4 linked regions of the Arabidopsis thaliana genome follow. The protein of the gene in region 2 interacts with the protein of the main gene of each other region in a pairwise test. Each region holds a gene or a part of one and is shown on either strand. Other genes may lie near its edges.

Evidence for each region.
Region 1: the proteins of MYB105 (region 2) and AT1G72210 interact in a two-hybrid assay, tested with the Arabidopsis thaliana proteins (one large-scale study listed by BioGRID).
Region 3: the proteins of MYB105 (region 2) and AT1G17310 interact in a two-hybrid assay, tested with the Arabidopsis thaliana proteins (one large-scale study listed by BioGRID).
Region 4: the proteins of MYB105 (region 2) and AT3G19070 interact in a two-hybrid assay, tested with the Arabidopsis thaliana proteins (one large-scale study listed by BioGRID).

Annotation. Positions count from the first base shown.
Region 1 is NC_003070.9:27,175,731-27,185,263, forward strand, and holds AT1G72210 (basic helix-loop-helix (bHLH) DNA-binding superfamily protein), read left to right. Parts: upstream 1-3,727; 5' UTR 3,728-4,335; coding exon 4,336-4,803; intron 4,804-5,338; coding exon 5,339-5,737; coding exon of another isoform or gene 5,738-5,800; exon of another isoform or gene 5,801-6,442; coding exon 6,443-6,538; 3' UTR 6,539-6,726; downstream 6,727-9,533. Other genes in the region: AT1G72220 (RING/U-box superfamily protein), read right to left, coding at 8,658-9,533.
Region 2 is NC_003070.9:26,153,979-26,162,012, forward strand, and holds MYB105 (myb domain protein 105), read left to right. Parts: upstream 1-3,723; 5' UTR 3,724-3,728; coding exon 3,729-4,200; intron 4,201-4,276; coding exon 4,277-4,645; intron 4,646-4,728; coding exon 4,729-4,928; 3' UTR 4,929-5,116; downstream 5,117-8,034. Other genes in the region: AT1G69570 (Dof-type zinc finger DNA-binding family protein), read right to left, coding at 7,793-8,034. UniProt on the Arabidopsis thaliana protein: Probable transcription factor that involved in boundary specification, meristem initiation and maintenance, and organ patterning. Functions in both lateral organ separation and axillary meristem formation.
Region 3 is NC_003070.9:5,925,322-5,932,745, reverse strand, and holds AT1G17310 (MADS-box transcription factor family protein), read left to right. Parts: upstream 1-3,912; 5' UTR 3,913-4,045; coding exon 4,046-4,732; 3' UTR 4,733-4,821; downstream 4,822-7,424. Other genes in the region: AT1G17330 (Metal-dependent phosphohydrolase), read right to left, coding at 1,151-1,237, 1,317-1,489, 1,621-1,719, 1,846-1,943, 2,324-2,342, 2,435-2,465, 2,619-2,780; AT1G17300 (uncharacterized protein), read right to left, coding at 5,306-5,359, 5,456-5,842; AlaAT1 (alanine aminotransferas), read right to left, coding at 6,653-6,769, 6,862-7,065, 7,146-7,220, 7,331-7,424.
Region 4 is NC_003074.8:6,589,486-6,597,318, forward strand, and holds AT3G19070 (Homeodomain-like superfamily protein), read left to right. Parts: upstream 1-4,287; coding exon 4,288-4,456; intron 4,457-4,536; coding exon 4,537-5,280; intron 5,281-5,364; coding exon 5,365-5,492; downstream 5,493-7,833. Other genes in the region: POK2 (phragmoplast orienting kinesin 2), read left to right, coding at 1-173, 276-398, 490-621; AT3G19055 (uncharacterized protein), read left to right, coding at 2,831-2,922, 3,011-3,135, 3,217-3,289, 3,406-3,457; AT3G19080 (SWIB complex BAF60b domain-containing protein), read left to right, coding at 6,597-6,910, 7,131-7,233, 7,313-7,487.

The sequences.
Region 1 (9,533 bases), 1.0 Mb from region 2:
TTGTTTCAATTTTACTTCTTTGCCCCCGCCCCCAATTTATTTTTACAGTAGCTAAATTTAATTTTGTTAAAAACAAAGAGCTTATATTGATGCATTGATTTGATATTTTTAAAGCATCACTTTATAGTTCAAATTGATTCAGTATACTTTAATTCTAATTATAATTAAGTAAATTGATTTTTGTTTCAATTCGATAATGCTAAATTGTAAGTAACCGAGTAATTCTGGACTAGTAGGACTCGAACCTAAAACAATAGAACTGTCAACACATGGTAACAAATTTTAGGGTACTCTTATAAATGAAGTTTATTACGTAAATAGGAATTGTTCTAAGCTTTTGAACAACAAAAAGAGAAAAGAAAAAATAGTTTAAGTTTGGTTGAAAATAATATAAGAAAAAATTGATCTAAGCTTTTGTCGTTTTAGGATACTTAATCCAACAATATATAGTTAATAGATATTTTAACTTTTAATGTATAAGAAAATACTAAAACGACAATTACTTTAACTGATTGTGACACAAAGACATCACAAAAAACAATTATGTCATGTCTTGATCAATTAATAATACTTATATCTAGTTAAATTCATCACAAATTAATTAAATTTTTGAAAATAAATTTAAAACAATAAAATTTATAATACAGTATATAAATCGATTGAAATATTCAATGCATGTAGGAAGACAAATCTCTCACTATATATGTAAACTAATTTAAAATACATTATTTTCTCACCAAAAAATACTATTTTATTTGGACCTATAATAGTTTATAAATTTAAATATTTTCAATGATTATTGTTTAAATTTTGTAATTTATTAGCATTAAATAATTTAAAAAATGTATGGAAAATCAATATTTTAGAAACAAATGGAATATATGTAATGGTTTTAGGTGGTTTATTGTCATTGTGTCATGATTTCGCATAGGGCCCTTTTAGATCTTACATTGTTGGATCGTTTACGTGGATAACTCTGTGCATCTGTTGTTAACAGTAAACCGTTTATGCATAAAAATATTATGTCGGGAGTGATCATTATATTAGATGGCATAAAGTTGATACTTGATAAAGATCGAATTGTCGCGAAAACAATCTTAAGAATAGTTCATATTCAAAATATACTTAGTGGTTGCATAATAATGAGTTTGATGGGACAAAATTTTACCAGTTGTGTTACTCAGATATTAATCAAGACATGTAGTATAATTAAGTAGTATATTGTGTTAGTGTAGTTATGATATACCAAACTTTAAATCCGCTCAATGCATATTCTTCATATCAAATAGTGTAATTTCGACCAAATTGGTATCTTGAAAATCATTAAAAAAAATGCTAAAATATTTTTTTTAACTAACTAAATGTTTCTCTTCATAAACTTATAACATAAATTTAAAAATGTATTAAATTAGTAATTGAATTTGTATTTACTAAATTATTTTTATAATTATTAAATTAACTTATGGTAACTAATATAACGATATTGAATAGTTGGATATTTAGAAAAAGAAGATGAGGGGAAAATAATTCTTATACTATTTTCTCATAACATTGTTTAAGTAATATTAAGGAAGACTATCTTTATAGTACATATGTTATTGTTTTTGAAACATTGGACTGATAAAATCATTATTTTTTTTCTTTAGCCATATATATTTGATTAATTGATCTATTTTTAGAAGGAGATCCAATTATCTGAAAATACTATTGTAACATGTTTCTTCTTTATTATTGTTGAATCATTGACATTCTTTTTGTTTTCAAACTAACTTTGCACTAATTCTTGTAACAATCTCTATGTTTGATCAATTATAACTTCGGCGATCCTTGAAAAAAATATCTAAATTATTTAGCTAGGAGCCTAGGACTATATATTATTTTTGCCTACTATAGTACTACTTGGATGGTTTTGAAATTATGGTATCTTTTTATGTCGCAAATAAAAACTAGAGGTACACGGACTTAAAGGAGACAAGAGTATCATAGCCTTAGATTTATTTTCCACCGTGTTTCTAAATAGTGGGATTCTTTCGAGTTTCGATCAAATGATTTTTCGCTTAGATTTCGTTTTGCATCACATATTTAAGTTGTTGCTTCCCTCTATTGGTTAAAGCGACCAAACAACTTTGTTACACAGCAACCCTAAGTCGTGTCATAGCCATCTAATTCTCACATCTTCTATACCGCATAAAAGTTCGATAATTATTAATTAGACTAATGGAAAGATGCCACCTAGTTAATATACAAATTAAGTTGGGATATCGTCTCTTATTCTTACATATGTCAACATCAAGAATACTTTGTTTTAAGCATGACATGATTACATTAATAAAGCATTACCCCACACGCCGAAATGTTATTCTTATTTTTATCCGTGAATTTTTTCTATGATCAAATTTGTCCGTCTAAGTGGATTGAATGCAAATGTGAGTGTTTAATTCCCATCATCAGTTGGAAGATCAGGGATTCTTTTTGTACAAGATTGGAAGATCAGGTTTTTGAGTTGAATATGGTTTGATCATCATCATTTTACGAACATTCGAAACTTGCATAGTCGAGTAATTTTTATCTCTCAATTTCTGTTTCTTAATCAATATCCACGTAAGTTTTTTTTTTTTTTTTTTTTAAACAGTTGTTTTTAAGTATCAAAGACATGGGAACCAGACAGTTGAAAATATATTTTTAAGACAAATTTACATATTTTAAATGTCTTCTAATCTTAATATTTTAAATGTTTTCTAATATTATCTTGTTTTAAAAAAAGAACACATATTTTCAAATTATATGATATTGTTGTTACTATTATTTCTTTTTTTACTATAAATTTTGTGACAATATATATATATATATATATATATATTAACCATTTTTCGGCGGTATAAAATAGTTTACCACCGAGTAATTGCATTCAATCGCACGACCAACAAGTTATAGTATTATTCACTTTGCCCCAAACTAAAAGTTTATTTTAGAAAATTCATTAACAGTAAATTTCATTTCCTTCAAAATACATTTTTGTTCTGTTTTTATTTATTTATTTAATATATTAACATTTATCATGTATGATGATTGATGAAGATGATTTTCTCAACATTTCTCTCCTTTTTTTTTTGTCTCTCAACATTTCTCTCCTATATAAAATTTAAACTATTGAACGAATGTTACTGCTACGAAATTATAATATTTACTCTAAGTTGTCATCAGGATTCTATTACTTTAAAAGCCAAAATTTACTAATCAAAAACTAGTTGATAGATTGTAAAATTAATTAAGCACATTTATTGATTTAAAATTTATTTTTTACTCTACAAATCGTGATTTCCAAGAGTTGTATCTATATAAAGGCAATATGCTTTCGGACCCATGCATGGTCTTGATGTTTTTTTACGGTTATTCCATTACGGGTAGGGTTATGTGATAAACGATATGATTTCATATAAAAAGAATAAATCAGCGGTCATTGTCTCCGCATGGTTCGGGGAAAAAATACTCGTATAAATAAGCCTTTAGATTTCGAATTTATAAAGCTTTGACGTCGGCTGATACATAGAAACAAAAAAAAACTTTGATGTCAAGCTCTCTTTCCTCTTCCTGTCCATCAATACGCGTTACACACGCACAATAGAAGCAAATTATTGTTTGAATACCTAAAAGAGGATAGACGACATAATTATCACCGCAAACACTCTAAATTTTGGGATATAGCTTTCATTAGATTACATTTTGACTCACATGGTATACGGCAAAAAAATATTAAATTCATGGCAACGTATAAAGTTGATATTTCAACATGTTATAATTTCTCTCTCTTCGAACATGAGTGTAACAAGACGAACCCCAAAGCCTGCAAAAACACACAGAATCTTTTCTTTGGTTTTGTGGACCGGTCTACAATCTCACGTGCAAAACCAAACATACACGATCTCTCTCTCTCTATATCTCTACTTTTTCTGAACTCAGTTGGTTTCGATTTTCTTCGGACCTTCTATTGTTAAATCAGCTTTATAACCTCACAAGCTTCTCCTCTATTCCATAGATCAAACCACAACTTTGTTTGACCTTTTTTTGAGTACTTCTCTTGTCTTTTCTTCTTCAAGTTTACTTAGTTCTTTGAGAACAAATTTCTGTTGATTTTTTTTCTTTCTTGTAGAGGGATAATTACAAGTTTAATTTCCCTAGAGTGTCTTTACCTTTTGCCTTGTCTCCCTCTCGAGACAAAAAGAGAAAGAGAAACACTTTCTGTCCTCTTTTTTTTTCCTCTCTTTTTCTCTCTCGCTGGAAACCTTTTCATATTCAAGTGTAATTTTAATATTTCAAGCAATTTTCTAGCTAATTATGGCCTTGGAGGCTGTAGTTTACCCGCAAGATCCGTTCTCCTACATCTCTTGCAAAGATTTTCCGTTTTACGACTTATACTTTCAAGAAGAAGAAGATCAAGATCCACAAGATACTAAGAACAACATTAAGCTAGGGCAAGGACAAGGACATGGTTTTGCGAGTAATAATTACAACGGTAGAACCGGAGATTATAGTGATGATTATAATTACAACGAAGAGGATCTCCAATGGCCACGAGACCTTCCTTATGGATCTGCCGTCGACACCGAGAGCCAGCCTCCACCGTCGGATGTGGCGGCGGGAGGAGGGAGGAGGAAAAGGAGGAGGACGAGGAGTAGCAAGAACAAAGAAGAGATCGAGAACCAGAGGATGACTCACATCGCCGTTGAAAGAAATCGCCGGAAACAGATGAACGAGTACCTCGCCGTTCTCCGGTCTCTCATGCCACCTTATTATGCTCAAAGGGTTAGTCTCTACATACAACAGTTATATGTATATGTGAGTGTGAGCGCGTGAAATATTCAGTCCTTTAGCTGTATTTCTTGACGTGTCAAAAAAAAAAAAAAAAAGCAAAGCCTATGTTCTAGGCTTTCAGCTAATTAGGACATGCATAGGCTATACATAGATATGTCATATGCATGTATGTTTATATGTTTTGAAATATAAATTTGAGAATGATGATAGATGAATGAAAGCCGTTATATATATTGACAAAAAATAAAAACTAAACGAAAGTCGTTATTTCTTTTTTTCATAATTTTATTAGATCATGTAGTCTCTAAATGAAAATTTTGTTAGTGGAATTGTGGGAGCATAAATAAAGTCTTGAACATCATTGCACCCAAAAAGGACTATACATATTATAGATTTATAATGAGATGGTGACATAATATATTTTTTAAAAAATTAAGGTACGAAATATAGACATGTTTGATTGTTTTTGCAAAACCTTTTGCAATTTCTATGTGCTAGACTAACATAAGGTTGGTGGTGGTTAAAGGGAGATCAAGCATCGATAGTAGGCGGAGCCATTAACTACTTAAAGGAGCTTGAGCATCATTTACAATCAATGGAACCTCCGGTTAAGACCGCCACAGAAGACACCGGAGCCGGCCACGACCAGACCAAAACAACCTCGGCTAGTTCGTCGGGACCATTCTCGGATTTCTTTGCATTTCCTCAGTACTCGAACCGGCCTACCTCTGCGGCGGCGGCTGAGGGGATGGCGGAGATAGAGGTAACGATGGTAGAGAGCCATGCGAGTCTGAAAATACTTGCGAAAAAGAGACCGAGACAGCTTCTTAAACTGGTCTCATCGATACAGAGCCTAAGGCTCACTCTTCTCCATCTAAACGTCACAACTCGAGACGACTCCGTCCTCTATTCCATCAGCGTCAAGGTACATTTTTTTCTCTCTTTTTCACCATTTTTTGTTTTTTTTTTCCTAACCAGATTAGAGTGATCATGTTATATAATACCGTTGTTTAGGGTTAGTGGGTTGAATTTGCAAATTCAAATTAAATTGGTATCTAATAATTAATGGGTGACTAATCATTACTCCCATTGTTGGTTTTGGTTCAATGATTATTCATTGATTGTTTTTCCAATCACAAATGTTTTGTGCATTTAATGTGTCTCTTATTAGTACATGTTGTGAATTATTTGTCTGGGCCAAAAAAGGTTTTCCAAGAACAAAAATAAAAATCGTTCCTTTTTTCTCGTTCTTTTTTACTTGGTTAGGGCTGGCCTCAATTATTGGGGGGTCAAAATCATCATTTCTTATTTATTAAAAAAGACAAAATTTTGAGTACTATCATAATATTGATTCTTGTAAGAATCAGGGACCAAAAAGATGACATATGCCTACACATGTGTGAATGTGTGTATATATATATGTGTACTGGGCATGTTTGGTGGTCACAACACTGTGGATGCACTGTGCACGGCAGAACGAAATGACGCCACTTGTTTCAGGACACATTCATAAGCTTCTTCCTCGAAATATAAACATTTTCTTTAATCATCTTTTTACCTTTTCAATGACTATATATCAATCTTTTTCATGTAACTTAAAAGAAAATATTAAAATAATGGGTTTATTCAGGTTGAAGAAGGGAGCCAATTGAATACAGTAGAAGATATTGCAGCAGCTGTGAATCAAATCCTAAGGAGGATCGAAGAAGAGTCATCCTTTAGCTAGTATTGTTGAATTTTAGTTATGGCACATTTAGAGGAGCTCTAATTTTTCATGTGTGATCTTTTGCTCTCTCTTTTTCATATATTAAATAATATAAATTTCCTTTTTCTTTTTGTTAACGTTAATTCTAATGCATTATATATTGGAGTTTTTGTGTGATTGACCTTTTAGACCTGATCACAAAAGAGGAACTAGCTTTTAAGAGCTCTATACGAGAATAGTAATTATAAGCTTGAGCAATTGAATTTTCCCACACATAAAAAAAAGGCTTGAACAATTTGACTGGTTATGAGATAGCTGAAAAAAATTCAACCACACTTATATAAATATACCGGTATGAGTCATGTGAAGGCGTCCCTAAAAGACTCGGTATATCGTGAATAACCGGCTTTGCACGGTTCGTTTAAGAAGGAATTAGTTAGAATAGTATATTTTGTGAAGTAATGTCTAAATATGCGCTAATTAAGAAAAAAGTTTGATGAGACTCTCATGGTCTGAATCAGATGTTTTGAACACCCATGACATCTAAGACACCCGCAAAGGGCCACATATACGATCGTAAATAATAATCTAGTCTGGGGTCGGAGAACACTTAAGTTCTAATCGGAGAGACTTTTCAGACTCAATCCACCACTAGTTTTTGGGTAAGCAAACATAGTTTAAAACTATATTTGCACATTCGCAAAAGGGAGATCCCTTTCCAAAGAAACACATTGAAAATTCTCTTTAGCTTATTCATAATTATTATTCTGAGAATATATTAAAAGAATGAATGTGATATGTATATGCTTTCTCATGAAAAAATGACTTCAACCTTTCTCATGATTGTTTACTGAACGAATGGGTTGAATTCGCTTTAACGATAATTCTACTTTGACATTTTCTGCCTCACTTGAGTTTTCAAACTGATATTGTTCGAGAAAATGTATTTACGAAACAAACAAAGGGAGTTTTATATAAATATATACCAACGGAGCCATGCGAGTACTAAATGTCAAATTTTGGGGTATATTACATATTTGGAAAAGCTTGGTAGATGAATTATTGACCTCTTTTCTCTTATATCCAAAAACAATTATTGTCAGCAAAGTTGTCTCAAATTATCGTTTTGCATCAACATATGAAAACACCACTTACAGTCCAAATTCACACCATATTTACATATGGGATTATATAATCCGAGAAAGATACGAACAAATTAAGAGACAGAAGAAGTTAAGAAAATGATTGAATAAAGGTAGAGCTTTTTTTTCTTGAAAACTTGGAGGCGTACTGAATCAGCAGTACATGGGATTCATGCAAGAAGACGATGATGATTGTCTTATCATGAAGACATATCAAAGATCTTTCGAATCTCTGTTTTTTTTTCACTTTTAGGGTTAAAGCCAGAAAAAGTAAAAAGTAAAGCCTATCGATGTGATTACACCAAAATCAAAATTTTATTCCCTCTATTTTTATCAATAACAAGGACCTCTATTATATAGCTAACTGTTAGATTTTAGCATCTTTTTCATGATTGAGACTTAGAATCATCAACTTTTCCTTAACTTTGCTTTTAGTAAATTTTTGGTTTTAGATGTGATTGAAGTGGATATTTATATTTCTCCACCGCTAGTTTATATGATCTTAATGGAATAAATGTTTTCACATAAAAGTGAAAAACAAATTTGAACACCATTGCTTTTTCATGTCTATATATCACTTTCGCCGCCATACCTTATAGGAGGTTTTTAAACCTCATAGATAAACGACGCCGTTTAAAGTATCCGATTGGGTTAAAATGTTAGGCCATTTATGGATTTGGGCTTTTCTGTATTAAAGTTATGGGCCCACATTTTCCTCTGTTGCTACATAATATTCTCATTTACCATAACTCCTTTTTTATTTATACATAACTCCTTTTCTTTCTTTAATTTTTTTTTTTTTTTGCAAGAAATGGTTTAAAAGTATATTTTGACTTTTAATTAAACGGACTATATGTGAATCTTTAAGTTAACCATGCTTGAATGAACTATGAACTATGAAGTCTTCCGATTTTTGAATTAGTCATGCTAGGTATAATTGAACACTTGTGCATTACTCTTTTTACATTCGAAAAAATGCTTTTCGTAGAGACGCTTTACTACAGCGGAAAAACCGAACTCTTGTTTTTGTTGAAACATGAAACAGAGGAGGAGCTTCCATTTGTCTTCAACGTACTCGACGAAATGTCTGACTGACTTTTCCCTTCATCTCCGGTTGTTTCGCCGTTCAATTCACCAGAATCACAACTTCTCCGTAATTGGTTGCTGCCACCACCGTTTTCCTCAGAGCAGCTTGCTTCATCTTCTCCGTTATGTCTAGTGAATTCCTCACTCTGATTCTCGCATGATTTCCCCGGAAAATCTACACTTTCTACATGGGTTTTCGTATGCGAGAGAGAGTTTACTGAATCTCCTCCATTTGGATCCATACACTCCTTCAAAACCCTAACTCTCTCTTTCGTCTCTGTTTCAGATCCATCACCGTCTGAATCAAATCTATAAATCTCAATTCTTATGTCTGAATCATCACTCTCTTTAAAATCAGAATCAACTCTGTTTTCAATCTCTCCATGATCTTCTTCATCAACTCCATCGTTCTCCAAATGTGAACCTGATCCTCCGGGAGTTACTTCAACCGGACCAGAATACCGTGGAGTGGTGACACTAATCATCGCAATACCAGCACGACACAGAGGACAATTGGTGTGAGAACTAAGCCAAGTATCAATACAAGAGATGTGAAAAGCGTGGTTACATTTAGGCAATAACCTAAGACTCTCATCTTCTTCAAACTCGTTTAAACAAACTGGACAATCTGTTCTCTCGATTAAACCATCTCCTCTCTTGTAATTACAGATTGTAATCGAGTTAATGATCGATTGTTGTAGACCTGTTGTTCTTATTAACCATATTGGGTGATCCACTTGTTCCCTATCTTGAAACTCTTCCTCCATTACCGTGTCGTTGTCTTCGTT
Region 2 (8,034 bases):
AGCAACGATGAGGATGATGATAAACACTATGGGCTTTTAATGTGTAATGTATGCTTTTAGGCCCAAAATAACCCAATAATAGACACTAGGATTTATTTATCAAAGTGTAACATTATGGGCTTTTATGTGTAATGTGTGCCGTAATGTATTTTTTCTTATTTGCGATGAGAGTACATCATATTTGAATGACAAATTGATTTCGATGCGATTTGAGTGTGGTTAGAAAACCAAATTACCAAATTAGTCTAGTTATATTATTTTTTGTATTTTCAATTTACATAATAATATAAAACAGTACTTGAATTTAATTTATAATATAAAACATTACTTGAATATTTGAAAAGCAATACATAAATATCACAGAGAAATTAATTAGTAAAATTAGAATTAATTTTTGTGTTTAAAATGAAAGAAACTAATAATGGTAATTAATTAATATTGTTTAAATTAATAAGAAAGAAAATTAGTCTCATTGAAGGACTTTGCTCAGCCTCTTTGCTTAAACTTATTCTCCTTATGCTTCTTCAATTTTTGGTACGGATTATCAGCTTGCTTATTCCAACAATTTATTCACAATTTCATGCAAATATCTATTGCCGATCGAATACTGAAACTTTGGAATGTTGTCGGTAAAAATTATAACCTCTCTAGACCAGGTTGAAAAAAATGTTGCAAAAAAATGTATAATCTAGGTGAAAACTTTAAAGAAGGCTAAAATTTCTTGCTCCTTTACGTGACAACTCATATACGTAGTTCTGTATTTGAATGTAATGAATGAGGCCACAACATCTATAGTGTTGATTGAAGGTACGGTTTTACATTTTTTGTTGGTTGTGTTGGTGATGATTTGAGGAGAAAAAGGTTATAAAATTTCCCAAAATAGAGCAATGGGGCTATGATAATAGACAGGTCATTATATTTAGGGAATTCGTTTCCCATATTTGAGAGATTGTTACTATTTGGTTAGCTTTCACATCATGAGGTTTTTGTTGACTCTAAGAACAGTGAGTCTTCTTCGTGTACATGTCCACATTGTTTTTAAAAAAATCCTCCTGTTTCAGTCTCTTGTTCATTTATGCGATCATCACTTGTTTTCCTGTTTTAATGTCCAATCCACCATGTTGTATAGTTTTTTCGGTCGGTTCGAAATCATCCTAAACCAAAAGCAGGTTGAATCCAATCAAATGAAACGTACTAAACTCGATTTTAGCGAAAGCTAGTTGAAAACTCTTAACTTTAAGTATAAAAACTTACAAGACACTTTTGTAACCTATGGAATTTGGGAACTCTAAACTAGTCTATGAAGTTTGTAGAATAATTCCATAGTTTTGTTTTTTAAAATCTCCGTATTATATTTTGATGAGGCTTTGTGCCTAGTAAGACCCAAAGCTAGTCTATTAAACTAGCTATTGCCTATGTTGGCTATGTCACTATGTGCTCCGAAATGATCGATGTATAATTGAGCAATGTGCGTGTGTTTAGGTATAGTAAAATGAGGAGCAGAGCATGCACGTACGTGTTGTTGAATTGATGGAACATGGTACGCTATAAAATCAGTTCGTGGTGTCGCATATTTGAAAATGAACCACAGTAGACTCGCAAAACATTTCTCTGTTGATATGAATTGGATCCTATGCATTAATTTCTGAATCTGTTTCCTTTCCCGACATTATATATTGTATATGTTCCACATTTAAAACTGAAAATTCAATTCTAATAATTCTATCCCCTACAGTTATTGAAACAGACGTCACCAAAAAAATCAACACCTTTTTTTAATGGCTTTTTATAAACGAACCCCGAAAACTTGTAAAAATAAAATAAAAAATACTTGTTAACTTAAATAAGTAGATAACATATACTTTTTTTTCTTTTCAAATGATAACAAAATAAAAGTGAAGGTAATTGGGTTGGGTGTAGATATCCTTAATTAACCTGCTAATGGTTAGTGTTACTTTGTTAGTGCGTATCTTTGAAAAAGTAACTATCCATTCTCACATCTACTGTATGACACAAATTTAGTGTAAATTAAGAAAGTATATATTCAAAGTTATTGACCAAGAAAAAAGGACCATAGGAAATGTTGAGTTAATCTCTGCAGATGGACCGTACAAGTCTGCAGCAAATACTCTGAATCTGAGATAATGTATTCCTCTGCCAATTGATATCTTTTTGGTCAAATAAATACATCTACGTTATGCTTAAAGTCTCACCAAACCTAGGTATTTCCTTTGTATATATGGGATAATATATGTTTCGTATATGCATTTATAGCTGCACAATTAATTAATAATAAAAAAAGAAATACTTTACATTCTTTTTTAAAATTGCATTATGGTGTTATGAATATTCATATTGCGACAGAAATTCTAACGATAATAACTTAATAAGTCTAGCCGATCCCTTAAAAAAATGATTTATAACAGCGAATTCTGCGACATATGGTTGGATAGTTAATTTTAAAATCAGTAAATGGTAGAATTGATATGGCAACAAGTAGTCAAGACTATATGAAAAACGGACTCGTTTGGGAAGATCATTAACATTCACATTATGAAGAGACCGGCTATGTACGTAGAAAGAGGGTTTCATATAAACCATCAAAATGTCGAGAGTGAGAGATAAATGGGGATTGGTGAAAAGACATGTGAAGTGTGCGTGAGAGATATAATTGTGGTTAGAAAATAAAAGACGCAAGAGTCAAATCAAATGTATGCTTTGAGCCTTTTTGGCTGTTATAGTTGGGACTACTTCAGATGTTTAGTTTCATCCTCATTACTATTTCCAATTTTCGGTAGCAACCAACAACAACAACAAAATCATTAATTATTTTTTTAAAAAAAAAAGATTCTGTAAATTGTAGGTTTCTTTGTAAAGGAAAAACAAATAAACAACCAATTTGTGATGGTTTAGTGGTTAATTCAAATTGGTTGTGAGATAGAATTCAAAACTTTGATAATGCATGAGCAGTGACCACTATGAATGTATTAAATGACAAGAATACCTAACGCTTAATTCATATGTATCAAGCGGAAAATAGTTAAAACTTGGGGTGAAATCGCCTTGTTACTTGAACAAAAAAGAAAAAGAAGAAGATCATATTCATAGTTCGAAATTCAAACAAGATAATACCAAGATTTTGTTTGGCAAGCAATCGTAGAATAATATGATGTTTTGTTTGGGGCAACAAAGAACAAAAGCAGTTGAACTAAAAAAAAAGATGTTTACGGATGTTTAACAACTTTTCATCTCTCTCCACTTTTCCAAACACATCTCCACTGCTCACAACGTAGGAAACGTGTTCCCTGTCCTTTACTCTTTCTCTGTCCTAGCATTTTTATTTATTTCTTTCATCTCTATACGTTTCCACATTCCTAGTTTTTTCAAAATTAAGTAGTGACAATTATTGTGAAAATGTTATTGGATTTTATTGTAAATGTAGATTATAGCTATTTGGTTATAACTTAAACCAGAGATAATAATACTATTTATACAATAATCCTAAATTAAAATATCTAGAATGTAAATTAAACTGAGTGTTGAAAACAATTTACAATGCATAAATACAAATGTATAGAAATATATATCAGCTTTCAAATCAGTCCGTGACAGTCCATGAACCTTTTAACAGTTGTATAACAGCATTTTGTCAGAAAACAAGGTCACAACATATACATACACGCACATAGCTTAGAGCCATACGTAATAATATCACACAAATATCAATTATGATGTTCAAAGTCATATTTAATATTTGCTCTTCTCCTCCAATGAGGATGGAGATGGTGCATGCTGACGTGGCGTCTCTCTCCATAACACCTTGCTTCCCGTCTTCTTTGTCTTCGTCCTCACATCATCACTATAACCAACAACAACATTGTATCATGTCGGAAGATCAACACCATTCGATGGATCAGACCACTTCATCGGACTACTTCTCTTTAAATATCGACAATGCTCAACATCTCCGTAGCTACTACACAAGTCATAGAGAAGAAGACATGAACCCTAATCTAAGTGATTACAGTAATTGCAACAAGAAAGACACAACAGTCTATAGAAGCTGTGGACACTCGTCAAAAGCTTCGGTGTCTAGAGGACATTGGAGACCAGCTGAAGATACTAAGCTCAAAGAACTAGTCGCCGTCTACGGTCCACAAAACTGGAACCTCATAGCTGAGAAGCTCCAAGGAAGATCCGGTACGTTAATTCTGTCACTTGATTAAGCTTTTACAAGATTCACGTTCTTGAGATTTTGGGTGTTAATGTTGAGCAGGGAAAAGCTGTAGGCTTCGATGGTTTAACCAACTAGACCCAAGGATAAATAGAAGAGCCTTCACTGAGGAAGAAGAAGAGAGGCTAATGCAAGCTCATAGGCTTTATGGTAACAAATGGGCGATGATAGCGAGGCTTTTCCCTGGTAGGACTGATAATTCTGTGAAGAACCATTGGCATGTTATAATGGCTCGCAAGTTTAGGGAACAATCTTCTTCTTACCGTAGGAGGAAGACGATGGTTTCTCTTAAGCCACTCATTAACCCTAATCCTCACATTTTCAATGATTTTGACCCTACCCGGTTAGCTTTGACCCACCTTGCTAGTAGTGACCATAAGCAGCTTATGTTACCAGTTCCTTGCTTCCCAGGTTTGAGTTTTTGTGTTCTCTTTTCTTTCAGTTTTTAATTCCATATCATTTCTTAATTTTCTTCCATTTTTTGTACTATTTAGGTTATGATCATGAAAATGAGAGTCCATTAATGGTGGATATGTTCGAAACCCAAATGATGGTTGGCGATTACATTGCATGGACACAAGAGGCAACTACATTCGATTTCTTAAACCAAACCGGGAAGAGTGAGATATTTGAAAGAATCAATGAGGAGAAGAAACCACCATTTTTCGATTTTCTTGGGTTGGGGACGGTGTGATCATCATCGATCATGAACAAGACTGGCTTGAGTTAGTTAACAAAAGTTATGAGATGATTTGAGTCCTTGTCGATGTAGTTATGTTGCGTTAATAATTGTAGATTAAATGTTGTTGTCCTTAGTCACATGCAACATTCCTTACCCCGTGTTAATTAGCACGTACATATATACCACTCGTTGGTTAAAATCAATGCTTTCATTTATGTAGATGCCAAATTGTCTCACCTTTACCAAAATTGATTTGAAGTGTAAAACATTTGTACCACTTTATAGTTCTAACTAACTCTTATCTTATATGAAAATGTCAGATTCCGTCATTAATGTCCAAAAATTGTATGGAGTGAGAGTAACAACATGCTTCGTATATGAAGAGGAAGGTGACATATGTTAAAACAGGGACGATGATGTGGATATAAGAAACGACAAAGAACGATAGAGAAGTCAAATTAAAAGGAATAATGTACTACATTGTATTTATTTGGAGTATGCAGAAGTTTAATAACAACATGCGATATTGATGAGGTTGCAAGATTCAGGCACAGATTCTGCAACAGAAAGTCCAAACATCCACTCTTTAATATTCTCACACCCATTGCATTTTTTTATTCTCTCCAAAGCAAAAACATATTTTCATTTCATTGCCCCTTACTTATGCGTCTCATCGACCTCATGTCACCCACATGGCCCCTTCTCCTAGTTATTGTTCATTGTAATAATCATTTGATTTGTATCATGATACTATTTGTATACGTCATTGTAGTTTTAGTCCAGCTTAACACATTTCTATGACTAAATCGAAATAATTGATTGATTTATGAAATTAAGATTAAATTTATGTAATACCGTTTTTCACTAAACACTTCCCGTTGTTAATTGTTTTTTTTTAAGGTTCCATAAGATCCACAAGAAAAGGATAAAACGGTAAGGAGTGTGCAATGTGCACCACTTAAAATCTATTGCTATTCCAGGCTTAGGCCCATTCTCGGACCCAATTTCAGTTTTGTTTGGAAGTGTTTCAACTTTTTCTTTTTTTATGTTAACCGATGTGATTCAATTTCTCGAGCGAGAGAGTACCAATATAGAATGAATATCTCAATTTTGTTTCTAATTTATTAGATGTTCTTAAAACGATAAGTGAAAAGCAATAACGTATATATTGGTTGATTAAAATTTAAATCAAAACGTCGAAAACAGATAAGTGTTGAAGTAAATATCAAACCAAAACCTCTATCAAAGGAACATTCATGTTAATGTAGTTCCTTATGTAATCCAATAATTAAATATTCATGACTTTTTCTTTTTCTTTTATTATTCAAAAAGAAAACAATTTTTTCTGTTTGTTTCCTTAAAAAAGCTGAACTACTTTACGAGAACATATACGTATGGTCCAGGTGAAAGCTGAGTGGCCTCCTACAAAGTCTACCTAACTTTATTCCTTTCTTTCACATTTAAGAAATCTATTTCATAACTTTAGTCTTTAGTCGTATGATAATAATGATTCCAGTTAATAAATCATTTGCAATTTTTATGATGACTAGACCTTGGTAACGAATTTTCCAAAACCCTTCTATATGTTTGAGCTACCGATGTTGCGTATGGTTTTAAGTATTTGCTCTCCAAGTACATTTCTATTCTTTATTCTTTCTCTCCACTCGAGCACCTCAAACTTTTGTGTTCCTTCGGTATCCATTGTTAAAAATGAGAACTCACCAACAACTTAGAACAGTCTTCCGGTTTGGGAAAAGAACATGCGTAGCCTCCCTGCTTATTCTTTAAACGTAACTGGATTTTAAGCTTTTTGTGCAGCTAAAAGAACCAGTCTTTATGGACCTTTAATTTTCACATATTTGTAGAGCTCAAAAACAAATAAAACATTTATTTACTTTTTGTGGAAGAATAGTATATGAGATCAACTATATAACATGAACTTGGGTTGCCTCTCAAAATGTGATATGCTATAATTCTATTAAATTATTAGACAATCGAAAGATTTAAATGCTGACAGTTTAACAAGTAATATTTTTGTTGTTTTAAAGTTTTGTAATCTGCATTTAAGTCTCATTTGAAAGGACATTATATTTACGTTTCATGATCATGGAAGACTCGAAAGTATTAACAAAGATTGGTGTCAAATCTCAAATGATTATGATCCAAATCTTGGAATTACATGGTTATAAAAATAGGTATAGAGCAACAAGCTAAGTATCCATACTAATAAGTAGAAACATTACAACATATCAAGTAATAATCAAAATGAGTAGTATAAAAGATTAGTGAAGGTGCAAAAAGAATGGAAAAAGACATTGGAAAAAAAAGAATAATTGCTTTTTAGAAAAAGTGACTTTTATGCTCTTCTTTTAGCTTTTTTTCAGTGCCAGTGGTTGGATTCTTCTCTTTAATCCAAATATGAAAGTGAAAGATGCTCTGCTTTCTTTGGTTTCATATTCCTCTTTTCTTATCTCTTATCTTAGATTAGTTTGACCCATTTACACTAAGTACCAAAATCGTACAAGCTAATAGTCTGGTACCTCATGCTCATCTGACATGTATTTACCAGAGAGGACAATTTGGAGTTGAGATAATATTTATCTCATGATTCATGGGCAAAAACGTAATTGTAAGTTCAAGATAGATCACGTAGATATTAATCTAAAGGTTTATATATGTTGCAACTTCATCACACAATGGAGAGAAATATCTACAGCTCCAAAAATATCTCTGTTTGTGTACAACAGTAAATACTATATCTACTCTTAGTTCCAAACAACAAAACTATCTACACAGCTTTGCCTTCTTCCACAAGGTAACAATTAGCCAAACTCAAATCTCTCAGTTCATGAATATATATCTATATTAGTGTCTGATTATTGTTGCATGCTCTCCCTGAAGTTCATAGCTCTAGACATCGCTGCAGGGTTTGCTTGTAGACTGTGAGAAGTTTCGGAGACCAAGCTACTTCTGTTGCTGTTTCCCTTTGTGTCAAATCCATTGAACAAACTGAATCCTTGCGTTTTTTTCTCGGGTTTTGTCGGTAACTTAGACCACACAGCGCTCTTACTAGCTTCGATATTCATTCTAAGAGATTCTGAGACCAATCTTGCTCTTG
Region 3 (7,424 bases), about 20 Mb from region 2:
AATAGATTATGTATTCTATACGCGATTAATTAGTCTTTTTTAATACTACAAACCAAACGACTTGGCTAAACATGAACAGTCCACTCGATTATTATATATTTTTATTAAATTCAACAAAATTTCCTTGTGTACGAAGCAAACTCTTTCCAAATATTAATTGGTTTTCAAACAAAAGTACAAAAATAGAAGAAGGGAATAATTGTATGTAAAAAAAGGAGTGTCGTATTATAATTATCGTAAAGGATTTATTTTCTATTTATAATCTAAACAAGTAAACAACTATGTCTTTTAATTAGTAAAATTGTATTCGAATACTCCCAACGTAAGTTTTTTTTTTGGTAAAACTCCCAACGTAAGTTCTTCACATGAAACTGTTTTTTTTTTTATATACCCACCAAGAACCTGATTTTGTATTTTGTGTATGTTGTTGCAAAACCAGACTTAAATTGTAAAAGAAGAATCTTAACTGCCAACACATAAGATGAAGATTACCCAACGAACGAAAACTATTATCTAGGTATCAAAAGACAAACAAATGTCACTAATACTAAATTTTCGTCATTATACGTTTTTAAATCACGTCAGTTTGGTATAAGAATATACATATTCTGATATTCAAACCAGGTAAATGTTATATTATGGCCGACCGAAGATAGCCTCGCAATGACTTGATCCACTAAAACATCCAGAAGACATCTTATCATCTTCCACTAATAAAATTTAAAGAAGACTTAAAAACGAAAATAGCAAGTCAATATTTAAACCAGTTGACAAACAAAAAGCCACTGGACTTTATAAAACCCTTTACGAAAAAGACAACAACTGACTTTGGCGTAAAAAAAAAAATTATGAAAAGAAAACGATTGGCTCTATCGTGTAATCCTTGCTTGATTTCTTCCACAATCATTGGCATTGACAAAATAATAGAGTTTTCTTTTTTTAAAAACAAAGCAATTTTAACATTTATAAATGTATAGTTATTACGAGCTATTTAAATAGAGTTGCCTTAAACAAAAAATAAAAAGAGAGAGAGAGTTGCCACTCTGTTTAAAACCTAAACCACATATTGGTTTGGTAGGTACTGCTTACTCAATAAAATCCGGTTGAACAAATCCTCTGCTTTTCTGCTTCATTTATCATTTTTAACTTTTCAAGTTGACCCATCCCACTCTTCATAGAACTCCTTAAGATACTCTTCCATGAACTTGTGCCTTTTCTCTGCCCTCCTTTTACCCGCCTGATATGTTTTCAATCCACATTAAATCTCAAATCGAAACAAATTTTTCGCGTCAAAATAGAGTTGCGGTTAAACTTACCTCAGTTTTCATCAGCTTCTTTAGCTTGAGGAGTTTCTCATGAAAGTGATTAATAGTAGTTTGCTCCTCTCTCTTAATGTACTGCTCTTTGGTTAGCTCTGTCCGGGGCTTGATCTCAGGATCATGAAGCACTCTGTTCCTGCTTCCACCAAATGTAAAGCAACGAGCAATTCCTATAACAGAAAGAGATCAACAACAACTAATAGCACAAATTCCATAACATAGAGAATTTTCACATGACATCAAAGCAGATATTTGGCAATGACATATCAAAAGCAACTAAAGAAAAGAGACGTATTCTTACCTATGGCGCCAATTGCATCAAGGCGATCAGCATCTTGAACTACCCCAAATTCTGGAAGAGACTCACAGAGTGCTACTCCTGCTAATTCGTCTTTAAAACCTGGAAAGAATACACTTGTTCTGTTCACAAATTTATATACAACAGAATGACTTAATTGTAGTGATAAATCATGTACATTATAGTTGATTGGATATGTTGAGTAAAAAGTAGGAGCTGGAAACTGACCCATTCCATTGATGATCGTTAGTATCTTCGTCTTCTTGGTCTCTTCTATACCCTCATCATCTAGGAAATTCTCAACAAGTTTCTCTTCCGAAGGGTCTCTGAATTCCGGTTATAATTATTTTTGCCATGAAGCAACATATCAGCGGAAGGAAAGCAATCTTCAGCATTCATAGTTAAGTAGTTTTTATGTTTATATCCACACCAAGTTCCACTTAGTAGAGCCTAGCAATCCTAAGGTAAGCAAATCTGACAAGGAATTCTCACAAGCTTTACCTAATGGCATTCGCAAACAAAACACTTCCAAGTTTCTTTATTCATCCAGTTTAGATAAAACAAAGTTAAAAGCAGGGAACTTAGAGAGTTTCATGAGAAAAGTAAACACTTTTGTTTCCTGGAAGTGTGATCAAGAATGTTGGAAGGGACATTACTAGTCTATACTCAAGCGGTTCAAAAGAAAAGAAAACTTAGAGAAACAAACCTTATGTACTTGTAATCACCTGATAAGAGAGAGGGCAAGAGATACGAATTATGATCAACCTGTGGACTAGAACCACATTACTAAAACAGAAATGAAAATAAAACCAAGTACCTATATCATGGAGAAGAGCTGCAAGCTCCACCTGCAAAGTATCAACAGAAATGGTTCACTCTAAAGTAAAAGAGCTGAAATTTGACAATAAACAGCTATAGCTAACTAGAAGAACTAACTAGAAGAAGGTTCATCAGGCTCAGCTGAACTAGAACTTTGAGATTTAGGGATTTTTCAAACTCACAATTTCCATGGAGTCAGAATTGGAAGAGAGACCTTCCTCGCGAGCAATGGAGAGAGCAAGGTCTCGGACCCTCCACACGTGCCAGGCGTCATGAGAAGCATCGTTTCCTTTCATCGCCTTCTCCACCAGCTCCTCCGCCTTCCTCATCGTCTTCGCCGCCATCTATCTCTCTCTCTCTCTCAACTGCTCAGTTTCGAAGATTGGAGAGATTTTGATTTTGCAATTTCAGCGTCGGAAGCTCTGTTTTAAAATTGATTCAAGTTTGCCGTCTCGGCTCGACGTTGACCACCGGAGTCAAAGAGAAATTCGGGGAAGGAATTTACTCATTTTACCTTTTTACCCTTACGTATGAAAGAATTTATTTATTTATGTTTTTTTAAAAAATATTTAAATTTACAGAGATATTTTCACATATTATTGTAGATTAAACTACACAAACTTTGCCACTTTCTGTTAATTATTTTAAAAATCTCTGTACTGATTGTTATAGAAAACCTATTCTTTACATTAATCGCTGGCTATATAGTACTGATTTGTCAAGTTGAAAGGTCGATTTATATAAACTTATGACTTTTGGATACATTTTTCAAAACAAATTTGATCCATTGAAATGGAGATTGTCTTTGGTGTTTTCCCTAGTAAGATTTCAAGGTTTATCTTTGTCCCCGAACCTTTTCAATTGCATTGGTTATGAAGTGGTTTATCTGCTTTGGTGTTTATAAATATTCGGGATTTTAGTTGTTTCTAGAGAGGTAGTTCAATAATTGATTATTTTCCAAGTTTCTGTTCTTAAACTCTTTTTTTTTTTTTTTTTTTTTTTGTTCTATGGAATAGATTGTAATCAAGTAACAAGGATGTCATCAAATCACTTCTTGGCCACGAATGAGATACTTAATTAATTTGAATATGTGATCAATTTGTCACTTAGACATTTTACCGTGATATTTGGAATTCTTAAATATCATATGTGTAATTTGAATATGTGATCACTTCTTGGCAAGAAGACGTCATATACTCATATGTTTTTCTTCTGCTTGGCATGACATAATTGTTCTACATGCTACGTTTGTATATGTGTACGTGATAGTAAAAAGAGATTCGTGTATATTTAGGTAGACTATGCATATATTATATAAATATAATGTGTATCACAAATTCACAATCGATTATTCAATAAACGACTAAAATGGAAAGTAGTATCTCGGATTTTATATTATTTCTATAACTTTTGTATAAGACAACACATGTCTTACATTTTTACGAGAAGCTATCTTTGATTCATTGAATCATTCCGAAAAATATTAATTAATTGGAGGTGCATTTAATACAACATTCCATAAACGTACGAAGAAAAGTAAGACAAATTAATTCCTTTATTATTACATAATCATGAACGACTATAAATCCCTCGACCAAGGAAAAACCTAATGATATTTTCATCTCTCCCCTCTCGGTTAGTCATGAAAGATTTGTTCATGGAAGGAGAAAGAGAAACTTCATCGATGACTTGCTTGACGCCCAAGGATTCTGTTCAAAGCCCTAACATGTTGGTTAGACAACCAAAAAAGGAGACAACAACACAAACCCCTAAAACGACACGAGGAAGACAGAAGATAGAGATCAAGAAAATCGAGGAAGAGACCAAGAGACAAGTAACGTTCTCGAAACGCCGTCGTGGGCTGTTCAAGAAATCCGCTGAATTGAGCGTTCTCACGGGCGCAAAAATCGCCGTCATAACGTTCTCTAAATGCGATAGGATCTACAGATTTGGCCATGTAGACGCATTGATAGACAAGTATCTTCGTAAGAGTCCGGTGAAGTTGGAGGGATATTCCGGTGATAACGCGGCGGATGAGGAAAGTAGGAGACCGTGGTGGGAGCGTCCGGTGGAGAGTGTGCCAGAAGAGGAGCTTGAGGAGTACATGGCAGCATTGAGTATGTTGAGAGAAAATATAGGGAAAAAGATTGTGGCGATGGGTAACGATCGGACGGTTGATATGGTTCCGGCATGGCCAATCAATGTGATGGGATGGAAACCAACGATGGATATGCAAAAATTGGAAAATCTGACGGATGGGGTTAATCGATGCCGTGTAGGTCAAAACGGTGATTGATTAGTCCAGTCGTGAAGTATTCCTCTAATGAATTTCTAAAATATTTTATTTAGTTTTGTTAAGTTTAATTATATGATTTTATGCTATTGATCATCAGATTGTTTCATCTCTTGTATACTTCATACTTTGGAAATTCAGTTGTTTGGATTTTTAATCTTTGAACCATACATATTACATAATGTAGAACAGTATTCTATCAGTTAAACCAGCTTTCAATTTTTTTTAAGATTTGACCTGCACATGTACCATATTTATATACCACATGAAGTATTTTTGGCAGATTGAAACTGCATTTTCTCTTGGTCGTTTTCTTATTTTATGTAAGGCGTACAAGAAAAAGCAAATAACGAAGGAAACAAGTGATTCTTACAATTAAGAACAAACGGGAAAGGTTGGAATGCTGGTTCCTTAAAACAAGGAAACCAAGTCACTCTTATTTATTTGCACGACACAAATTGACACAGAATAATAACATAGACTAAGTCTTAGCTTAATCCCTAAACATGCAATTAGGTTTTCTCTTTCACGTGTTTGACCAGCCGACTCTCTCAGGCCTCAACACATCCAGTCTCATCATTGACCAATGTTGATAATTTCTCCACGGACAGCATACTCATATTTGAGAACCTGTGTGATCATTTATATCCCCACAAATAAAAATCAGAAGCAGTCAAGAAACGTTTTAAGACATCAGTCTCTAGAGTGGAGTCAAGAAAAACCGACCTTGGTATTGATGGAGTCAAGAGTTACGGGAAGAGAGGAAGAGGAATCAGAAGCAGAGATATCGGAAGAAGAAGCAGACAAGTGACGCGATGAAGAAGCAGGAGTAGGAGTAGGGACTCTTCGGAAGCTATCTTTTTCTCCTCTAACTGATGCTTTCTCCTGATCCTTGTCAATCTGTATAGGGTTTGAGCCACCCCTTGGGATTCTTCTTAAGCTATCTTTTTCTCCCTTAAGTGGCTCTTTCTTCATCTCCTTGCTTACATGCAAATCTCTCGCAGCTTGACTCGAATGTGTCATCGTTAACAAAGAACGGCCCTCTACACTATACTTGCTGCTAAAGAAAGCTACAAGTAACAGAACCAGAGCCACTGAACAGTATCTCTTCATTGTGATTTCTCTTCTTGTAAATCCGTTAGGATTCTTGAAAGCTCGTATCTTATTCTTGTGACAGTAACTGAGACAATCTTGGATAGAGATATGAGTTAGATAACTAGAGACTTCTAAAGCGTGTTGCTTTATAGACCAAGATTTGTGTGTGTTTGAAGAAATAGTTATTGGGATCTAATTACGTGATCTTACTTTGACTGCTGCTATAATAATCAGATTTTGAGTCACTTACCTTATCATTTACTGATGATGATATTACTCAGCAGCATCTACATTATCATATGTACAGTACACATTACCTAACTCATGTGCATGCTTTGAAGTTTAAGAGATGGTGGCCATGTGAATAGAGAACGTGACTACTGTCTACATTTTACTAAGGGAATTTGGAGGTATTAGCGTAATTCTCCAATTTCAGAAAGAATAAATTGCAGGTAACAGCTGTTTTGTCTCTCAACTAATCACTACTTTTCTCCACAATCTTTAATCTTATGCAGTTATTTATATTTTCAAACGAAAATGATTCTGTGAAATCGAAACTTTGAACATGGAATTCAACAATGGTTCAATCTTGTGTTTTCTTGATGAGATTACATTTTGACTAACCGTTTATAAGAAACTCTCTCAATTTATATTACGGTTTTTCACTATAAAGAGAACAGAACAAAAAGTGAATAAGAAAGAGAGCACTAACTAATGCTCTCACATCTTAGCTTCTGTAAACACAAAGTCGATGAAAAAGAAACGGCATGGGACCTTTTTCTTATTATTACTCATATAATCTATAGAGGGATCTTGAAAACAGAATGCTTAGTCGCGGAACTCGTCCATGAAGCTCTGGTGGAACGCAGTTAGACGATCAACAATCGCTGGAATCTTATCCTCTTGGGGAAGTATAGTGCACCTGAAATGCCATGTTCCAGGTACCTACATCAAACCGAACAAAGACATAATCAATATCAGCAAGTGAGGTTTTAGTTTTGGTTCTTTGGAGAAAAAGCTATTTCTTTTTTTCAAACCTGTCTAAAGCCAGAACCAGGGACAACGACTATTCCAGTAGCTTTTAGAAGGCGTTTGCAGTAGAAATTGTCTGGTGCTGTCTTTTCCGCCTCAGCAGCTGCAATTGCCTTTTGTGGAAGGTGAAGGCAAGGGAATAGATACATAGCTCCTTCTGCTCTATTGCATGTAACTCCCTCTAGCTTGTTCAGAGCCTCTTCAAGAGTCTGCAAGGTTAGAGTTCAAACACTTTAAGAACAGAAAGTTCTAATCTTGAATATTCCTAGTTGTCTATTAAATGGCTAACCTTTGCACGTCTTGCCAAAGATGAGAGAATTCCATCCTTCTCTGCTATGTATGATTCATAGGAGTCGTCACCAGGCTGATCAAATTTAATAAAAGCTATTAAGGTCAATTATCGATGTGCAAGTCCAAGCCAACAGGTGGAAACTGAATCAATTGTGATGATAAAGTCATATAGATGTTTTATACCTTGGGTGGGCTCATGATGAGGCTAGCAAGAATTTGACCAGAGATGTTGGAACAAAGATTCACAGAAGCCATTTTGTATATCTGCTCTCTTACA
Region 4 (7,833 bases), on a different chromosome or scaffold from region 2:
TGAGTGTTTCTCGTGCCAAAGAAGAGCTTGCTTTTTACCGAGCATCTTCTGTAAAGAACCCGCATTCAAATTTTGACAAGACGCATCAGTTAAGTACCAAACTGAAGGAAACCGAAGAGGATAGAATGCAGCTTGCTCAGGAGCTATTAAGTCTCTGCACCAGTATCCTAAAGGTAAGAGGAACAGTCATAGTTTTTCACTGTAAATAAACTCCAAAACGTACGTCAACATAATAGAATTCTAAACATCTTTTTGTGGACTGAAATTTCCCTCAGGCAGCAGGTGTAACAGGAGAAGACTTTACAGACATAAACCCTGAAGTTGCTGAAGAGGCACTTGAACAGCTCAAGACAAAACTTGGTTTACTTGAAAGTGAAGTACACCACTTTAGGTTAAAGGTAAGAAGATATAGTTCCATTTGAAGCTTCAATCCCTGTAGCTTATCCCAAAATAAGTATTAAGAGATGATTGAAAAAAATCATGATGCAGGGAAAAGCAAAGAGCAGAAGAAGTAGGAATCCTGAGAGAAAGATGCCTTCAATGCCTTCTCCTCGAAGATCATGGAGTCAGAGTCCAAGAAGTATGTCTCAGGTTCCTTTTTTCTCTTCTTTAGACAGGTGAAAGAACGGTATGTTTGTATGAGAACAATCAGTCAGTGTATATTTATGAATGTTTCATGTAACTGTTATGCGTGATTAGTAAATAATTTTTATAAACAATTCAACGAAACATATATTACGAGCACTTCTTCTTCTTCTTCTTCAATTACTAACAAGAGTACAAATCAAAAGCCAGCATAACAAAAGGAAACATTCAGAAACAGAGCACAAATTCAACACGATGATGCAACCACGCAGGTCCTCCTTTAAACTATCGGAGAGGCTGATAGTTTAAAGAATGGAGTCTTGATTTTGAAACATTGTTGATTTGGGAACATCATGCCAATCCATCAACAATTTTTTTACTGCTAAGCTAATAAAAACTGTGGTGCTTAATTTCTTTTATTCGTTTTTTTCCCCTTAGATTATACACTTTGCTTAGGGATTTTTCCTTAGGAAAAAAAATAAATTCAATATAATAATCGAGTGTTTAAGTTAGATATAGTTATTAACATGTTTTTATCCAACAACGAAAAATCAAAACGGTGGCGCTATGATTTAGGATCGGGAGATCTTCTTGTTGGCGAAATAAAACAAATATTTACATTTTGATTTTGATTTTCTCTACAAAACAAATTAAATATATATATTTTGATTTTCTCTTCAAAATTTTATCAAACAAATTTCTCTACAAAGACAAATGTTAACCTTATGAATATACAAACAAAAGTAGGGTTTGTGTTTGGTGAAAAAGAGAGAGTAGAGAGACGATAGATCTCGTCCTTCAAGATGGTGCATTCGTATAGTTTAGAATTGTTCCCAATTCGTCATCCTCGTCCTCGTCCAAGATTTTACTCACCCTACACGAGGTATTATATATGTCTAGTAGTATTTTCATTTTTAAAATTTCTTTTATTGTGTTTTTGATTATTAATTATCCTTCCAATAATATTCTAGAACACTTGCTTCTCCTCCAAGCCACCCTTCACATTCAATCCCAAGGAGGAAGAATTGTTTTGAATTTCTCGAAGAAGTCTTCAAACTCGAATCAGTTTCAGAACAAATATCCAGAATTGACGAACGAATTCAGGAACTCGAAGTGAAGCAGATGAAAAGAGATGCAGGTAAAAATTTATATATTTTTTGATATCTCTATTTGATCAATTCTTTCTATTGCATGAGAATCATGTCTATTTTTTTATTTTATTTTGCAGTCATTGCCAATGTGTCTAGGATGATAACGGAGTTACAAATGAGAACCATGGAGGAGCGTAGGAATATCGACGAGGATGAGAGGATTACCACCGAGGTACTTAGGAATATGGAAGCGATGAGAAAATAAGTCTAACAACTGATTTTACATCAATAGACTGTTTCTTATACTAGCTACATTGGTATATATATATTAATGATTACTTTTGCTATTTTATATAGGTCATTATTAATGGAGACTCAACTCCTGAACAAGATGTGAGGATCAAACAAGGGTTTAAACCGGATTTATGTTTTTTTTACTTGATCAAGTTTTATTTAAGAAAAAAAATAGTGATTTGCATTAATTTTATCATATGCAATTTTTCAGTTATGAAAAAATAAAGAAAGATTCGTTTAGAGTAATTCAGATTATTAGAGACAAAAAGCACAAAAGCTCAAAAAAGACAAAGTTGGACGGAAAAATCTATATATGATTAAAGCAACGAAAAACAAAGAAAAAATCAAACACACACATTGTGTAATTTTTTGTGTATATGGAAGAATAAAGTGAGGCGATCGGAATGAACATCATTGATCATGCTTTCTCAAATTCTTCTCTGATCCTAAAACCAATAAAATGTTGTGTTAACTTATAAATATCATCCATCAGTTTTTACATTGTAGTGTATCGTCTCTAGTAGAGTTCAGCAGTGATCATGATCATCACTAATAGTTATGGCGTTCAATTTTCGTTTTCTCTAAATGTTTTTAAGAATTATCGAAGGAAACAAATATATACATTAAATGCTTCTTTAAAATATATAAACTCTGTTTAGAATTTCAGTATTGAAATCTAAATTATAGTTTGTTTAGATTTTACTAAAGATCCTAGTACTCCAATAAATACAATCTTTGTATTTTTAAATAACACTGATATTATTGATCTTATCCCTATCATTAAATTCAACGACAAAAGTAAACTTTGTTGCAAAAGAGAAGAAGACTATAATAGAGAGACGACAGATCTCGTTCTCAAGATGGTGCACTCGCATTACACATTTGAAATCCGACAGGCCCGTTCACATTTATTCTTAATTCGTCATCCTCGTCCAGGATACTTTAAGAAGAGGTAATTTCTAGGTTTTTAATGTGTTTTTTCCACTCTGATTTAAAATCCTTTCTTCTCTCCCAAGCTTCCCTTTGCTTTCAATCCCCAGGAGCTGGAAGGATTGTAATGAGTTCGAGCAAGAAATCTCAAAAATCGAATCATTTCCGGAAATAATATCCAGAATTGATGAATATGTTGCACAACTTAAGGAGGAGGTGGCCTATCTAAAGATAGGTATTTATTCAGAGTATCTATTTGATCATTCTTTCTATTTTATTCTCCTTTTTTATCTTTATGTGTTTCATATTCGTGTAGCCAAGGCGATTGTCGAAGAGAGGGCTAGGATTCGCTCCATAAAAAGAGCGGAGGCGCGTAAGGTTTTAGAAAAGTAAGTTTAACAATTGACGACTTTTTAGAGAAATTTTTAATGATATTGACGACTTAGATGATTAATTATGATCATTATCAACCGTTTAATGATTACTTTTACTTTAATAGTTTAAGGCAAACTCTACTCGGGGAGATGAGGAAGAGGAAGGCTGACGAGGATCTATGAGAACTGATGATCACATAAACTTCATGCTACATGCAATAAACGCGGTTAATTGGGTTTTGTTTTTTCTTCAACATCAACCCGACCTAGCTAGGGTATTATCTATATATATGGGACATCTTATCATCTGATCTGCATGTACCTATTTTTATTATTATAAATGCTTCATATATTAAGAAGAAAAGTTGTAGGCTTGTAGCAACCGATTCATAGTGGAAAATCCTTTTTTTTTTTTTTATGAAAATCAGATCGGCCGCAAAAACAACTTTCACCATGCACGAAGCTAGAAACTGCATTGATGTACCGTGTACGCTGTTTTTAATATAAAATAATTGCAGTTTTATTAGTTAGGCTACAAATATGAAATCAGGAGAAATATACCAATTAATGTACGTCCTAATTGCTTGGTATGTTACATAACCTTAAGTTGTATAATATTTATTAATTTATTTTATACTGGAGTTGATAGCTTTAAAAGTTGAGAGCAAAGTAACTTGAGACCATTTTAGAGTTAGCAAAGTAATGGAGAAAATAAGAAAAATCACACGCATGCAGCATGATGTATAATTATTGGAAACATGTATTTCCAAGAAAGTAATCAGTTCTCTGTACGCCTGAATTCGATTTTCATAAAGCTCACTTCCTTGGATTGCTAGAGCAAACATTTATATTGATATCTGCGTTAACATCATAACATGTGGGTTTTTAGTAATTCTCAACAGTATGGGTATTTTTGCTCTCTCTAGAGAGGGTAAATTTGTGATTCCATCTGCAAATTATTCCTCCTATATATATATAGAACGTGATGAATCAAATTTCTTAAGTTGCAAGCCATGACTAATCTTGATGAGTTTCTTGAAGAGCTAAGTTCTATTGAATCACATTCTCAGAAAATCGTGAAGATAGATGAGCATTTAAAAAAGTTGGATGAAGAGACGAAAGAAGATGAAGATGAAGATGCGGCGAAGATAATTCAAGATCGGAGTACCGCGAGAGAAGCAGGTTAATTTCTTCTCCTTCACCTTGTAATTTAAAGTTGTTCCTCTCTCATTCTCAAATCTTGTTGGGTCTTGGAAACGCAGAAATTGCTCTACTTATGGATCTCCGTCAGAACTTTCTTCCACCACCATCGATGTCATCCTCCTCTCTTCAACCACCGTCATCGTCAACTCTCGCACCATCGTCATCATCCTCTCTTCAACCACCCGCACCGTTGATAGACTTCTTTCGGTCATCAGTGTCATACTCTCATCAACCACCGTCATCTTCAACTCTCGCAACATCATCGTCACCGTCTCTTCAACCACCGTCGATGTCATCCTCCTCTCTTCAACCACCCGCATCTTTGAGGGAATTCTTTACGTCGTCAGTGTCATACTCTCATCAGCCATCTTCATCTTCAACTCTCGCAACATCTTCGTTCTTTCCGTCGTCAATGCCATACTCTGTTCGACCTCCCGATTCGTCTGATCGACCATCTTTGAGGGAATTCTTTCCGTCGTCACCATCATCCTCTATTCAGCCACCCGAATCATCATCATCTAAGCGAGCACGGCTTAGTAACATCTTTCCGTCACCTTTATCCTCCTCTCCGTCACCGTTTGTTAACCCGTTTCTCCGTCCGCAGGCCCAAGAACCAACAATACCAAATTTCATAAACCCAATACCACAGATCTCTCCAGGCCTACCTGCTCTATTCCCAAACCCTAACCCTAATCCTAACCCTAACCCAATCCCAAACCCAATCCGAAACCCAGACTTGGTGTGGACAAATAGGCTTCAACTAGTGTTTGATGACGCAGTTGTCAGACTTGGGGGATTATTCAGTATGCAACTTTATAATTTTTTTATTTATTTTGTTTATTCTTTCAACTCCTAACTATTTTCCTAATTTTTTTTTTTTTTTTCAGGTGCAACACCCAAAGCCATAAACGAACTAATTTCTGAAGAGGGTCTCACTGGTGACCAGATCCGTAGCCACTTACAAGTCTTGCGGGATCGTCAAAAGGCTATTGCAGACAAATTAGCCTTGGAGTGAAGAAAATATTGAAGATGAGAGATAGGATTAAATAGAAAGAGTGATAGTATAGAACGTTTCTTTTTCTTTTGTTGTTAATCTTGCATATTACAAACAATTACTATATCATAATAGAATTTATGTTAATGTTGGAGTTATTAAAAAAAAAAAAGTTAACCATAATAACATTCTTACTGTACGCATGAGTGATCATTTATCACAATCTATTAGAGCAACCCCAATGGGTGGGATGATGACAGTCCCTAAAAAACCAAAAAATAATAATATTTTAATTTTTTAACATAGTTTGACAACTAAAAAACCTACACATGTACATTTAATCTTCAGGTCCCTTATATAAGGGTTTTTGGAGCCCTTCTCTCCTGTGTCCCTTCCATTTTAATTATTTTTTTTTTTTTTATATTGTAAGGGACCTTAAGAGAGACCACCATTGCTGGTGCAGGCTGTAGAAAAATTTGTTTAGCTTCTCCTTCTTTTCTTAATTTTGACAGATAAGTCTCAGCCTCTCTCCCCCCATAAGGGTATGTCTTGACATTTAGATTCGTTGAATCAAAAGTTTTTCATGTTTGTTCATATTGTGGTCTAATCTTCTTAGGCAGATATGACCTCAGGGAAGAAAGATTATTATGAGTTGCTCAAAACTACAATCTTTAAATAAATATTTGGGTGATGAAACTTCTAGTTCTTTTTTTTTTTTGGTCTAAAATGAAACTATTACTTCTAGAAGAGAAATATCCAACTCTTTTTTTTATTCCAAGCAAATGATAACCAAAAATGCAATAAAGGTGTTAATTTTTATCATAAATATATTCTAACTATGGTCGTAACTTGTAATGGAACACCTAGGCATTTTTTATTTTTTTGGTGCACACCTAATTCGAGGAAAAAGGTTGAAGTAATCATAATTACATAAGTTTCTAACTATGGTCGTAATCGAACACATCTAAGGCGTAGTAATAATTAAGGAAAAAGGTTGAAGTAGCAAAACGACGAGGTTACGATTTGTAAATTCCATAAATGCCCTCTCTCATTTTCAACCTCAAAGAATCGTTTTTGGCTTTCATCAGCCGCTTCGTATTTTTGTTTTCTTCAGTAACGGAAAAAATGGTTTCCGACTTGGACCTCGTGACCCGACTCCGTGAGATTCTCGGTAGCTCCGACCTGAACACGGCGACTCCGGCAAGCGTCCGTCGTCAGTTGGAGGCGGATTTCGGTGTGGACTTGACAGATAAAAAAGCGTATATTAGGGATCAAATCGATACTTTTCTCGAGAGCAATGGCGCGGTAGAAGACAAACCTGAGAGTCCCAAGGTAGAAGAATACATTAATGCCGACGAAATCAAGGCGGAAATTGAAGGAGGCGATGGAGAAGACCTCGACGGAGATGGAAGTGGAAGTGAGGAAGAGAAGGAAGAACGGTAATTACTCTTGTAATGATTGTGCTTTATGTGAAATTGGATTTTTGAAATTCAAATATCGATGAATCAGTGATCATACACACACACAAAGATTGAGTATTTATAGGAATCTTTAGCATTTTTCAATCGAACCAATCAAAATGCTTCCGATGCATTTCTAATCAAAGACCACTTGTTTAATGACTTAAGTTTAAGGGATTATTGTTCATTGATGTGTTAGGCCAGTAAAGGCCAAGAAGCGAGGTGGTGGCATTACCAAAGTATCTCAGTTATCTCCACAACTTGAGAAAGTTGTTGGAGCATCTCAGTTAGGTCGAACCGAGGTAATTTTCATCTTCTTCCGACAACTGTTCTGCGAAGCGGAATTGTACTTTAGTCTTTTGTGTTGTGTATATTTATCAGGTTGTGAAGAAAATGTGGGCATATATCCGAGAGAAGGATTTGCAAGACCCAAAGGATAGGAGGAAGATAGTGTGTGACGAGTTGTTGCATTCCTTGTTCCGTGTTAAGACCATTAATATGTTTCAAATGAACAAGGCATTAACCAAGCATATTTGGCCCTTAGGTGATGGAGATGGTAATTCTTCCTTGTCATTATACAATTCAGAAAACTTTCACATGAGACTGCATGATATCTGTATATATATCCCTAGTCTTCCTGTTCAGTCAGTCATTGATCCTAAATAGCTAGATCAGCTAAATATCCCTAGTCTTCCTGTTCAGTCAGTCATTGTATCATGTGTCTGAAATCAAGTACCCCACTGTAGAGAGTGATCATGTGTAATTGTGTGGAAATAGTGTTCATCAACTGTTAATAGTGTTGAATATTGATATTTTCCCTCAGCGTTTGAGTTGTTAGGATGCTTATATATTTGTTCAAGAGACCTCTCTAATGAACATCAATTTTGTTTAGTAAAACAGTA